Linked DNA regions of Oreochromis niloticus. The protein of the gene in region 1 interacts with the protein of each later gene in a pairwise test. Links are inferred from orthologs where the notes say so. Each region holds a gene or a part of one and is shown in the gene's direction. Other genes may lie near its edges.

Evidence for each region. The genes of interacting proteins can lie anywhere in the genome.
Region 2: the proteins of znf277 (region 1) and gngt1 interact in a two-hybrid assay, tested with the Homo sapiens proteins (3 studies listed by BioGRID and IntAct). The two-hybrid records come from large-scale screens. The link is inferred for Oreochromis niloticus from reciprocal best matches to the Homo sapiens genes ZNF277 and GNGT1.

The regions. Positions count from the first base shown.
Region 1 is NC_031972.2:1,103,143-1,110,620, reverse strand, and holds the start of znf277 (zinc finger protein 277), read left to right. Parts: upstream 1-4,477; 5' UTR 4,478-4,546; coding exon 4,547-4,574; intron 4,575-5,377; coding exon 5,378-5,591; intron 5,592-5,864; coding exon 5,865-5,953; intron 5,954-6,066; coding exon 6,067-6,149; intron 6,150-6,382; coding exon 6,383-6,474; intron 6,475-7,186; coding exon 7,187-7,297; intron 7,298-7,380; coding exon 7,381-7,478. UniProt on the Homo sapiens protein: Probable transcription factor. Involved in modulation of cellular senescence; represses transcription of the tumor suppressor gene INK4A/ARF, perhaps acting via the Polycomb group (PcG) complex PRC1.
Region 2 is NC_031985.2:24,331,376-24,337,571, forward strand, and holds gngt1 (guanine nucleotide-binding protein G(T) subunit gamma-T1), read left to right. Parts: upstream 1-4,992; 5' UTR 4,993-5,151; intron 5,152-5,274; 5' UTR 5,275-5,277; coding exon 5,278-5,373; intron 5,374-5,528; coding exon 5,529-5,654; 3' UTR 5,655-5,688; downstream 5,689-6,196. Other genes in the region: tfpi2 (tissue factor pathway inhibitor 2), read right to left, coding at 1,278-1,357, 1,851-2,024, 2,146-2,325, 3,504-3,674, 3,900-4,020. UniProt on the Homo sapiens protein: Guanine nucleotide-binding proteins (G proteins) are involved as a modulator or transducer in various transmembrane signaling systems.

The DNA.
Region 1 (7,478 bases):
GATGGTGGCTGGGGAGAGGGAGGTCTGGGCTTCTCTGCTTAGGCTGCTGCCCTCGCGACCCGGCCTCGGATACGCGGAACAAGATGGATGGATAATAATAATAATCCAGATCAAAAATGACAAACAACATGAATTTAAGATCATAACAATGCATGCACTCATTTACTCACAGTCAGGCAGACCTTCAGTACAGTACAGAAAAACACAACTGTTACACAAAACAAGAAAAACAAAGTAAAACAGGAAGTAACCAAAAGAAAAACAACAGTTTTCTGAGACCAGAAAAGTGACGTGAAATGTAGCAACAGAGACGGAGCAAAAAGACAGACAGCAAAAAAAAACTACAAATACATTACACACACCTACAAGTATCACACCCACAACTGGTGTGATTTCCTCAGCTGTTCTGACATGGAGTCATGCAGATCTTGTTCTGATGACATCACTGTCACAGGTGTAGGTGGTCACCTGCAGATGTTTAGACTGCAGGAAACATGTTACACACAGTTGTTTGGTGTGTAGCAGTGTGTGTTTGTGTGTGTGTGAGCTGGACAGAGAATGAGCAGAGGAAGAAGAGCCCTTGTGGCTGTTGTGACTCTGATCCGTGTGGGCGACTCAGCTCACATCATGACATCTTCTGAGGTTCTCGAGCTCCAAACACGAGGAACGGTGTAGGTGCTGAGCAGGCGGTTGCTATGCAACAATTCATCGCCAGCAGCATCCAGGTTGGACCCGAGTGGAGAGCAGCAGTCAGGCGGAGGGGGTGGTTTGAATGTGTTCTTTGAAAAGCCGGAGGAAAGCAGCGTTTCTGCAGCTCTCTAGTAGGCGAGCTGTCAGTAGATTTGATTATGTGGAAGCTTAATGGAGAGCATCGGGCCAGAGCAGCTGCAAACGGAGATACGGTGCAGATAAATCTGGAAGACCGGGATGGAGGCAGTGTAAAAACAGGCAAAGTGGGGCCTGGATGAACAGAGTGACACTAATTTGAAGCTTGCGACAGGCTGATGTAAGACAGGTACAGTGAGAGGCAGCACAGTGTTTACGCTTTACAGTGAAGGGATAAAGATGCCGAGTCTGTAAATGGAAATATTTACCGATCAGTTCTTGTCCACATGAAGCCGTCCTCACATCAGCTGTGACAGTCTGACCAATTAAACACGAGTGTTTTACGGTTACATTCTTTAAAAATCACCGTGTTCATTTAAACCTCTGTCTGTTTATCACAGAACAAACTGGAGTTGCATCATGGGTAATGTAGGCATGAGGTTTTCACTGGAATAAAGAAAGTACTTCCTGTTCTGCTGCACTGATTGTGATCGTCTTTGTTGAATCCAACATCGTCACAGGAGAATTGTTTTAGCAGTCTGGAGTTTTTCTACATGGCAACTCTGCATTCACAATTTCCAATTCTGCTCAGTAGAAATCGTCAAATTTCACTCAGTAAAACTGAAGCTCGGACTTCTTTGACGTTCTGTTGGTACAGTAACTTCACAGCAGTCTTATTATTGATCAGATGATGTCATTAAAAATGCTCCAGCAGACTCCAGCAGCACAAACACGGTCCAGAGGTCCAGGTCAGGTGAAGGCGAGCAGACAGCTGTCACCTGCGTCACTATCCACCTGTCATTCAAAGAGGCCACGCCCCTAGTAATGCAAAATTTAAGCCTTAATACAATTCAAACGGGCGACTTATAAAAACATTGTCCTTGCTACAGTTGCTATGAGGGACGAAATGATCCATTACAGGTGGACATTTTAACATGGGAGTCTGTGGGGACTGCCTCACCGCTGGAGCCTCTGGTGGACGTTGGAGGAACTGCAGCTTGTAAATACTGTATTTGATAAATGTTTGATTTTTTTTACAGATATTCTCAGGCAGTCCCAACACTCCAGCTGCATTATGGTTCAGTCACGCTAAACTTTAAATAAGACGGCAATCTCCTGACAACAAGACACACACCGGTGGTTGCTCGGTGATTGGGTTGAATTATTTGTTGCTTTTAGTGACTCATTGTGAGCACTTCCTTGTGTTGAACGATAAACGTGCAATTGAACACTTAATCTGAAGGTGATTTCACAGATCGTCTCGTGGGAGTCCCCCCCCCAGAGCTTCCAGTCCCTCTCAGACAGACTCAGACAGGGATGTGAGACGGCCAGCATGTTGCAAACACAGTACATCTTTAGTACATGATTCAGCTTGTTGTGATGTGTGTGTATGCAGATAGAAGAGGTTTGTCACAGTAAACTCCGACACTGGGATGCAGTGATTCAGTTCAGAAGCAATCGGGCTCACTTGGTTTGCTGCTGTGTGGATATTTTAGCACTCTGAGCTTCGGTGTGGACGTCCAGGTCTCCAAACGTGCTTTTGCTTCATCCAAAGCATCAGGAACTCTGTGCTGTTTGAGTTACAGTGTGCAGGCTTGCAGGGAGAAAAAAAAGAAGATTGATGCGGCTCGTGTTGAAGTCTAAATCAGAAATCCTCATCATATCCAGGCTGACCGAGGCTGCCTCCCCTCGCTTCTCTCCAGGGTTTAATTAGAGCCCCCGGGCTCGGCGTGAATAATGCAGCGCCTGAACGCACCTGAGCGGCCTGCTCGAGCAGAACGAGGAGCCGCAGGGAGGCCGAGAGAGCACCACCTCCAGAGGGAGAGAGAGAGTGAAAGGGTTTGAAAGAGTAGCGTCAGAATATCTGAAGGTTTTCATGTCACTCTAATGATGTCCTGACAGAACCACGAGGGGCATCAGAAACATCTGTGTCACACCTGTCCAACACTACATCTGCGTTAGTCACACTGCTGTAAGAGGGAGATTAATCCAGATTGCTTTGATTATTGTTTCCTTTCATTTTGTTTGCATTAACACTGCAAGCATCAGACTAAATCATACTTATTCTGGCTTTGTGCAGTTACAAACTGGTTGATGAACCCAGATCCTAAGCACTCACTTTGTTAGGTAAACCTATTTACCTGGGGCCTGCTCGCCCCTCCCTGAGCCTGGTTCTGCTGGAGGTTTCTTCCTGTTAAAAGAGAGTTTCTCCTTTCCACTGTCACCAAAGCGCTTGCTCACATCTGATTGTTGGAGTTTCTCTGTTTTCTCTTTATTATCATAAGGTTCTTACTTTAAAATATAAAGGAGCTGGAGGCAACTGTTGCTGTATAAATAAAATTGATTGATTGATTGATTGATTGATTGATTGATTGATTGATTGATTGATTGATTGATTGATTGATTGATTGATTGAAAAGTGAAGATTAGAGCTCAGATAAATGGCACACAGAGTTCCAGCAGACACATCTCTACATCAGCTGTTCAGAGGAGACTAAGGAAAAGCAACAAGCAGAAGAGATTAGTTTGGGCCAAGAAACACAAGGAGTGGACATTAGACCATCTGTGCTTTGGTCTGATGAGTCCAAATTTGAGATCTTTGGTTCCACAAAGGTGAACGATGGTCTCTACATGCATGGTTCCCACCATGAAGCATGGAGGAGGAGTGTCTGGCAGTGTATGCGCCAACATAAGACCACTGACAGGAAGTGAATGACAGTGAACATGAAGTTTTAAAGCTAAAAATATTTGTGTATATACTGGTTCAAAGTGTTTGTGAAACACTGTGTTTTTCATGCTTGACTAAAAAACTGCAGTCACGACGATTGACTCTGAGCACTTTTCGGTGATTACAGAGTCATAATAACGTGTCATATATGAGGTTATTATCATGGCATGACATCACATCATGTATGTATTTGCAATATTTAAAAAACAGCTGCCAGTGTGTTTTCATATTTGTATTCTGTGCCTAAAGGAACAAAGGTTTTTTATTTATATAGTATGGCTGTCATTGCTTTTATCTATAGTTTTTTTTTTAAAGTGAGAATACAGCACCAAACCTGAGAGTGAGTCAGACTGCAGGATGAACACTGAGCTGTTTGTGCCCCCCAGTGGTCTTCGCCCACAACGTGCTTCCAGTGAATTCCTGAATCCAAGCTGGATGATGAGCTGTGTCATCAGCCACTCCACCTTAAAACTGACTTCACATATAAAACTTGGGTCATTTATTTAAGAATTTGCACCATATCCAGCCTTCTATCCCTGTGCTCCCCTTTACAGCAACTCAAATGTTATTTTCAGACGTTTATCTTAGGGAACCTTTCACCTGTACACACGGTACACATTCACAAATAACGTTTCCTTTAACAATTTGTAATAGAGGGGAGGAAACATATGCTAATGTAATGTTAATAAATGGAGATTTATGAACACTAAACTTTCATGTTCAGAGAACTTTCACTCTCAGGTATATCTTGAGGATCTGAGTGTTCGTGTGATTTATATTCTTTGCTTAATATATGCAACAACGTCCAACTGTCAACTTCGTTCACATTAATTAACCTTCAGCTTTCGAAACTTAAGTTTTTGTATTTCCTTGAACCACTTGAATGCACCTTTTCTCATTCGTGTTTTACCGGGCTCCGCGAAGGCGCTTCGTTGGCATTTTATAGCCTCCGATTGGTCCGATTTGTGTTATTTGCACCACGTGACATCAGACATGGCTGCCAGCGAGCCGAGTAAAGACGGTAAGTGTGGATTTTTAAACGTGTCCGCGGCTTTAATGCTGACGTCCTGAGGTGAGCGTGGGAAGGTTTGGGTGTCGGTGATTCTCCGAGTCTGTGGGAATTCACAATCAGCAGAAAAAAGGCTCAAAAAATCAGAAAAGCTGGCGGGAAATCGCCCGGCTAAGCTAGCAGGCTAGGAAATAGCTGGGCTGCTAACTCTGATTATACAGCAATCAATGAATATTCAGTCAGTACACTCAGTCTGACAGCTGTGAAGTTTGTTCGGGATTTAACAGCGTGGAAAGTATGAGCTCGATTAATGAGTTAATGAGCGATCGTGGCTCAAGAGTTGGCAGTTCGTCTTGTAATCGGAAGGTTGCCGGTTCGAGCCCCGGCTCGGACAGTCTCGGTCGTTGTGTCCTTGGGCAAGACACTTCACCCGTTGCCTACTGGTGGTGGTCAGTGCGCCCCAGGGCTCCATCACCAGTGTGTGAATGAATGGGTGGATGACTGAATGTGTAAAGCGCTTTGGGGTCCTTAGGGACTAGTAAAGCGCTATACAAATACAGGCCATTTAATTAATTTGCGAGCTGACTTTTTTTTTTTTTTTTTAAGATCATATTTATTCCCCAGGAGTGATAAAAATAATTGTGTACAGGCAGAATTTTGTCGATCAGAGGGAAATGCTCCTTTATGCCAAGCTGTACATTCTCGCTTTCACTTGGTCATGACTCACCTGGTCTGGAGTAGTGTGTGTGTGTGTGTGTGTGTGTGTGTGTGTGTGTGTGTGTGGTAAATAAGCTGTAGTCTCTCTGCTTTCTCAGGTAAGGACAGCATTCTGGAGCCGCTGAGTTTCCCCGATCAGCCGGCTGACACCTCCAGCGCTCCCGGTGTTCAATGTCCCGGCTCCGAGCCGCTGGTCTGCCTGTTCTGCTCAGAGTCCATCCCACTGCCGCAGAAAGACGTCCTCCTCAGACACCTGTTGATGGAGCACAAGCTTGTCATCGCTGATGTCAAACTCATCGCAGACCTCCGAAAGTACGAACCACGCACGCTCTGGCTCACTCGGTTTAACTCTCTGGAACACGTTTGGATGTTTTCAGCATTTAGAACTCGATCATTTCACCAAAGACCTACTTTAATTATTTGGGGTGATGGGGGGAAACCCTTACAAGTGCATATACAACAAGTCCAACATGTCCACGCCGGTTAGTGTGCTGCTTTTATGAATCGTGGCGAAGTGTTTCTGTGCGCCGGTAAGCCTGGCTATGAGTCGGTTGGTGGTTTTTACTCACATGTTTCCTCCATCAGGTACTTGCTGTACTGGAAGGGCAGATTCCTCGAGCAGCCGGTCACAGATTTCTGCAGCGTCATTAAAACCAACTCCACGGGCCCAGTCGGTGAGTTCACTCAAAGCCACAGAGGACCTGACCTTTCAAAGTGAATCAAAGACACCTCCTCCAGCTCTGATTAATGACTCATTAAAAACTCTTCTTCCTCGCTGACCTGACAGAGAAGCAGGAGGACTACTTCCTGCTGTGTGACGTCCTTCCAGAAGACCGAGTCCTCCGTGAGAAGCTCCAGCAGAAACGACTGGTGAGGAGACGTGACACTCAGAGCATCCAGAGTGAATCTTGCTGGAAGTTTAGTTTCCTTTAAACTTTATTTTGAGGCAAAGTCTGAAAATCTTTGAATGGATTTTTTTTCTTGCAGATTTAATGATGATTTTACACGTTTTGTGTCCTTGTAACCTCTGAACTTTAAATATCTGAGCACTCTGAGGTAGTTTGAGAAGAATTCCTCTGAGCTCTTCTTCTGTGCTCCCACAGGAGGAGGTCCTGGAGCAGCAGCAGAAGGAGCGAGATGACTGCAGCTTCCATCGTCTCTGCATGTTCTGCAGTGAAGAGTTCACAGGAAACAGGTAAAGCCCAGCAGGATTCCCATCAGTCCTGGAAACCTCACGTGTGTTAGAGCAGACAGAAGGAAGAGCTTCCTGAAATCATGTGACTAAAAGCTTCTTTGCTTCCTGTAGTCGTCCTCTTGTGATCTAACCCCCAAAAAGCTGCTTTGATGCATAGCGCCATAAACATAATTTAGTGACATGTCTAAGCCTGAACCAAGAAGCTGATGTGAGACCAGTGCATCCTTCTTCTTCTTCTGCTAACAGTCAGGTCTCAGACCTGTGCAGGTGTGTGCTGGTTCATAAATGGCATGAAGGTGTGACTGGCTCCTCACTGGTGTTTACCACAGTTCGTCTGTGGATCTGTGGCTTTACCTCCAGTTAAACTTCTATCCATCCATTTTCAGTCACTGTGTTGGTTCGCAGATGCTCGGCCTCCCTCTACACAGCCACCCCCTCCAGCTCCTCTGTGGGAGGATGCTGAGGAGTCAGCCGAGAGACATAACCCGTGTCCACTCCGGGTCTCCTCACATTTTAACATGCCGCGTGCCCATGGCGGTGGATGTTGCTCCCCTCTGTCTGCCACCACGGGCACGCCGTAAGGATCTTGACGTCTTGTCCAACTGGGAACTTCTGGACGAAGCCCAAAGGACTGCAGCGCAGTGCTAACAGTGATGATGTCAGCTGATGTTTTCTTTCGTTTATTAAAATCGGCTCCACGTGCTGTTTCCAGGTCGTCTCTGCTGAACCACATGGCCAGAGAGCATTCCTTCAGCATCGGACTGCCGGACAACATCGTCTACTGCAGCGAGTTCCTCGACACGCTGCAGGACAAACTGGACAGGTATGCTAATCGTTGCTTTTTATTCACAGCATTAAGTTTTGCTTTGTTTCTCGCGCCTTTTCATTTCGCTCCCCTCGCTTCAGTCTGCAGTGTCTGTACTGCGAGAAAACGTTTCGAGATAAAACCACGCTGAAGGATCACATGAGGAAAAAAGCTCACCGCCGCATCAATGCCAAAAACC
Region 2 (6,196 bases), on another chromosome or scaffold:
CTGTGTGGCTTTTTAAAGGCTGCATACTGTTAGGATGACTGCTCCCTTGCATACTTTTAATAGATGATTTAGCTTTGGTACTTAAAGCAATATCCCTAGCCAGATGCATTCCCTTTTATTACTATTTATATTTGAGCCAGATGGATGAGTAGTTTCCATTTATATCTTCAATAAATATTTATTGTCTGAAGAATCACACGGCACTTTCTTATTGTATTACAAGAGATGGAGCAGAGCACGGACTTAAGGCAGTCAGGGTGTTCATACTAACAGCCTGCTTTACTTAATGACATTATAGACCGTTGTGATTTATCTTTGCGATAAAGAGAGTATATTATCTGAAAAACTACTGACCAAAACGCAATTGTTAAAACTCTTTTTTAATAACCGAGGTTGGGAGGAAAATATACATGTGCATTCATTTTCCTGCATGGATGCTTTCTGCTATGGGCGTGTTATTGTGTGTATTCCACTATAATTACATTATAATTGCTAAAACATTTGCAGACAATATTTCTGAAAGCTCATGACTCACGTGTTGTAAACCTGCAGCTTGCTCTCCTTTAAATATGCAGTGCTGTTCTAATGAACCTGCCACAGCAGTGTTTCCCTGCCCCATGATTGCTTCCTTCCCGATTCAAGGCTACGCTGAAACGAATGAGATAGGCTCGAGCGCCTTGAAAAGTATTACCAGATAAGGAGGGAAGACAGCAGCATTAGTAAGGAACGGAAGAGCAGCCTGGAGATAAAGTGCAAGTGACTGAGGGAAAGTGAAGAAACCAGCCAAGTTTTTAGGGTAAAATTAGACACTCTGTGAGTTTATGTGAATGGTAATGGTTAAAGAAGACGAAATCCACATAATTTTAGTTTTTACTTTTATGAAAATACCGCAAAGCACAGTAATTTGCTTAACACAGTGTTATCAAAATACAGAAAAGGCAAAATTCTTGAACAAATTCAGGATATTTCATGTAAAAAATTGTAACAGAACAAAAGAAAAGAATACATTACAATCATACGGTATTAAAATACATAATGAGGAATGTTGGGCATGAATCAACAGCATCAGCAGCAGCAATCCATCCTCTTGATATTTACTGACAGCATACAGTCAATAAAAAATTCAGAAAAATGATCTAATGACATTATAAATGTGGTCAAAATATGTCACACAAGGGCATAGGCAGCCTGGTCGTTATTTGAGCATAAACAAACACACATTAGCTTCCACGTGGAACTTCTCCAAGAGAGAATTCCTGAGTACAAGTGTCAAACATTTACGGCTGCAAGAATGTGACGAGTTTTCTATTTTTTCTCGATCGCAGAATTTTTCCTCGGCCTGGATGCTTTTTCCATCCTGGAACAACAACAAAAAAAAAAGCAAAAAAAAAAAAAAAAGCATAACAGCTGATTAGCATAACATATAATACTGACGATTGTGCACTTTTTAGTCTCACAATTAACCAAACTGGCTTTCTAGGAACAGATTTTGCTTGGTTTCCTCCAGATCATAGCATAGCGATTGGCAGCAGTGGATGAATGCTTTGAAAAGCATCATCCAGCCTGAGTCAAAGCCAGTAGTTTTTTTTTTTTTTCAGATACCAAGCATTTTTAGGCCTGATAATAAATCAACTTAGCATAATTTGGTCTCTTTCCAATTCCCCCAGACTTTCTGAATTTTCTCCTATTTCCATCCAGTAAGTGGGTCTGAGTGGCAATTCAAATGCTGCCATTATTGAATTAAGCAGTGAGAAAATTCTCCTGAAATTATCATCTTCAGATAAAGACTTCACAATGAGCTGTGAAACATACACCCATGCACCCTTCCCGCCTGGCTCAGGTTTGCACACCTTTTGCGCACACGTCCATGCAGGCTTGCCGCGAGACAAAGTTGTTGTTGGTCCCACCGCAGCCTGAGTAGACAAACTCCTCACACGTCTTGGTGGCTGTGTTATAGTAATAGCGAGGTATGGCGGCTGAACACTTCCCTTTGTCCAGAGGCTCCCCGCAGAGCACGGGAGCGGCTGTAAGTGACACAACACAAGGAAGAGCTCACCAGTTATTGTTTAATCATTTCCTTGTGAATGCAATGACTTTGTCTACTGTGTATCCTCACAGGGATGACTCAGGGGGTAATCTGCTCACCTTTCTTTGGACTGCAGTACTCCATGCAAGAGGCTAGATTAAGGAAGCGGTTGGAATTCCCCTGGCAGCCACCATAATTAAATGGCTCACACTGCATGGTGGTCATGTTGAAGAAGTAGCGGGAGACGAGAGCCCGGCAGGGTCCCTCTTCTTTAGGAAATCTGCAGATTGGGGGAACCTCTGTGGAGAAGAATTGAAAAAAAAAATCAACATTTAACAGTGATATCTGGTGAAACAACACTAATTAATTCATATGAACAGGTTAACAACCAGAGAGGCACTGACTAGTTTCCTAAAAATGAAATAAAATAGAGATGGTTAAGTCACCATCACTGATATATCTACCGAATATCAGCTGAAACTGAAAGAAAATGTAATGTATCTGTGTCAATGCCCAATATTTATGTGTTGTGGGCTGGCTAAATGTTCAAAGATGGTGTAAAGAAGAGTTGAAAAACTTTAGAAACACATAAATTATTATTATTTATGTTTAATGACAATATTTTTTTCCCCTGGACGAGAAGGCTAAGTAGCAAGATTAAAGATCAGCTCAATTCTTACTTAAAACATGGGTACTGGCCCAGAATTTCATCCCTAATGATTCATGGTAATTCATAGGGGTCGGGGGGGAACGATACAGCATGGTATCGCGATATTTTGCATGACGATATTGTATCGATACAGGAATATTGAGTATACATATATATAATTAAATGAATTCAAATAATCTGAACAAGTAGGCTCACTTCATCCCCATTCTGAGATAATGTTAGTTGACTTTAACTTTACAAACTTGCATTAAATCAACTCAACTGGAAACCCATCCAGCACACATTTTGGCTGGTTTGTAGGGGATTAAATGTTTATTTCACTCAGTGACATGCAAATCAGTTTATACCTTTTGTGTAATGTGTTATTTCTGGAGTTTGATTGATATTCTGTCTCACTCTCCATTAAAATGAAACTACTATAAAAATAGAGGCTGTTCATTTGTTTCTAAGTAAACTTAACATACTTTACTAACATTATTTCCCCCACTGTAGTGGGGGATATAATTTGACCTCATTCAATGACAAACTGATATATTACAGTAGTAATATTAGTAGTAAAAAAAAATAAGTGAGGTGAGATAACTTTATCTTATTGGCCAAAACTGATTTTGACAAAGTTTCATTTTGAGGACATAGATCGCAGCTGGAAATGTGAGTAAACAGCAATACATGGTAATGCAATACTCAGCATATGACAATATCTTAAAAATCGCAATAATATCACATCTTGAGGGAAGTATTGTGATAATATCATATCACGTGTTGTCTGATTCCCACCTCTAATAATTCACGGGTCAGGCTACTTACTGGGAATTTTGTAGCATGTCTTGTGGCACTCCTGATAACTCTTGAAGTTATTGGCATTCCCTTGGCAGCCTCCATAGTCGAAATCCTCGCACGTCTGGGTGATAGTGTTGTAGTAATACCGCTGGATGTTGCCTCTGCAAGGTCCCTCATCCACTTGAAGAAGGCACACGCCTGAAAAGCACCAAGCAGATTGTTATTGAAATACCGGAGGACCGTTGTAAGGACACGGAAAAGAAAGTTTATGCAATGCTTAACAACACACGACAAACTGGATCTGTATTACGCCCGAGGTCATGTGATAACCAACAAGCTCAGAACTGCTTTTAAAAAGTTGGTTAAAACATTGAAGAAGCGCGAAGAAGAAATTAAACAAAAAAACACATGATGTGGAGTTACCTTTAGGTGGCAGCGTCAAAACGCCGTAAAACGAGGAAATTATTGTAAACAGAGCAAATGCGCAAAGCTTCATTTTGCAAAGTTTTGGTCGAGATCCAGACTTTTCCGCTCTGTCTACCATCCCCACTCAGACCTTGTTTTATAGCACAGCCAGGAAGAGGGACGGGCATGTACTGAGTCAGCGCGCCAAAGAAACTAAATTATTGCAGTTGATTAATGACGTCACAAGAAACGTTTTTATTCTGAATTACGTGGGGGAGCGTTAAATCCTGTGACTAAGTCTTAATTAAATATCAGGAGGAACTTGCTCTGCTTGAGAGAGTCAGATACTTTCACTGTCACAGGCCACTGGTTCTAGTGATGATGATGATGATGATGGGAATGTACAGCGATCCAGTAACCCACACAGCATCCTTGTCAAATTTCCACAGAGCCAATATTGCGTTGTATCTAGGGACACACACGCTTGTGAAACATTAACACATCTTTCTTGTCTGAGCCACACAGGCAAGTCCACACCAGAATACTTGTCTGACCGGATCGGAATCCACACACACACACACACACACACACGTACTCTCACTGAGAGTCACATTAATAGTACCGTGGCTCATGTTATCACTTATTTTGTTTAATGATTGCCACCACTAACGTTCTTCTTTCATGATAAAAGTGCTTCTTTCTACGACATCCTACCATGAAAAATCAGCCTTATCTGCAAGTTAAGTTAAAACTCACATTAACATTTGTATTGGTTTCATTCCATCCCACTGCTTTGGTTTTACCTTTATGAAAGATGTTAACTGGAAAACTGCCGTGCATTCACGTTTAGAAGAACGACATGTCTCCACCTTGACAGGTGGAGGCTAAACACAGATTAGCCGTCTTATCAAAATTAACCAGATAAATGAAGCGCCACCCCTTAACCCATATCCAAATGAGCCTGCAAGAAAACTCAGAGTTAAAATAGAACAAAAGTTCCAAACTGAATCTATAAAAGACAAAAAATACATCACCATGTTTTGTTTTGTTTTTTTACACCAAAGGAGCTCAAATGGACGCCTGTGTGAGTTGCCCACCCTTTCCTTTGTGTACTTGAGCTGCTGGTATGATCATTCAGTGGGGCCTTGTTTTAATCAGATTAGGGGATTAGAATTGTTTATGCTGATTACTTTATAACCCAGATTGAGAGAGAGGAGAGGGATTCTTCAGCAGGATTTCGGGGGTGAAGGACTGCTCCCTGTAAGCGTTCGTAAGTGCATTCCTATCCCTTCTGCTAAGTCTTACGAATTGTGAACATTTCCTTTAAGATCATTTATTTATCATGTGGAAGTAAGCATTAACAAAAAGGTTAAACGTTTCCTTTTTTTGACAGAAAATGCCAGTCATAAATGTGGAGGATCTGACAGATAAGGACAAGGCTGTGATGGAAGTAAACCAGCTTAAACTTGAAGTCAAACTCGAGAGGTGGTTGGTAAGTTCTCCACACTGAGGTGACTTGTGTGCTCAATATGCGTTTTTGATTAGATCCAAAAGTAAATATCAGACAGCTTCAATTTATTTAGTCAAACTAATTACATCACAAAGGCTATTCAAAACTGAAATACGCTTTCTGTCTCCTGCTTTCAGACATCTAAATGCTGTGAGGAAATCAAGGAATATATTCAGGCTCTAGTGGAGGAGGACACCCTCGTCAAAGGCATATCAGAGGAGAAGAACCCCTTCAAGGAGAAAGGTGGCTGTGTCATCTGCTAGACTGGACCTAAGGAGCTTTTCATATTGAGACTAGACTGTAAATGATTCAGATGAGAACTAGAAACAAAAGAAACATTTATGACTTCCCGTGTAAAACAATTCTTCATCTTGAGGCCAGATTTGTAGCCTTCTAATTCTTTATTTTTTTTTTTTGAAAGATGCACTAATTAAAAGTTGTATTTGGCAAGTGTTACATAATGCTTCTCTCTGTGTGGTGTATATAGTCTGAGCACATGGGCCCATATGTTGTTTCATTCACAGAAGCAACTGTCATTAAATGTGCACATTTATAATTCAGCCTGTCTCTGTGATTCACTGAAGGGTTGTAGACAAAGTAGAGAAACAGATAAATCTTCATAACTTCATTTGCATACATACAGAGGGTTTTTTTCCCCCTCCAAGTCTTTATGTGATCATTATTATTTTGTTCCAATAATAATGGTGAACATCAAATTTGAGATCTTATTCCCTAAAGTACGACGGGTTTGCGAGTCTTCTTCTTTTTTGCTCATTTCATTGTAGATTGAATTTATTTTAAATCT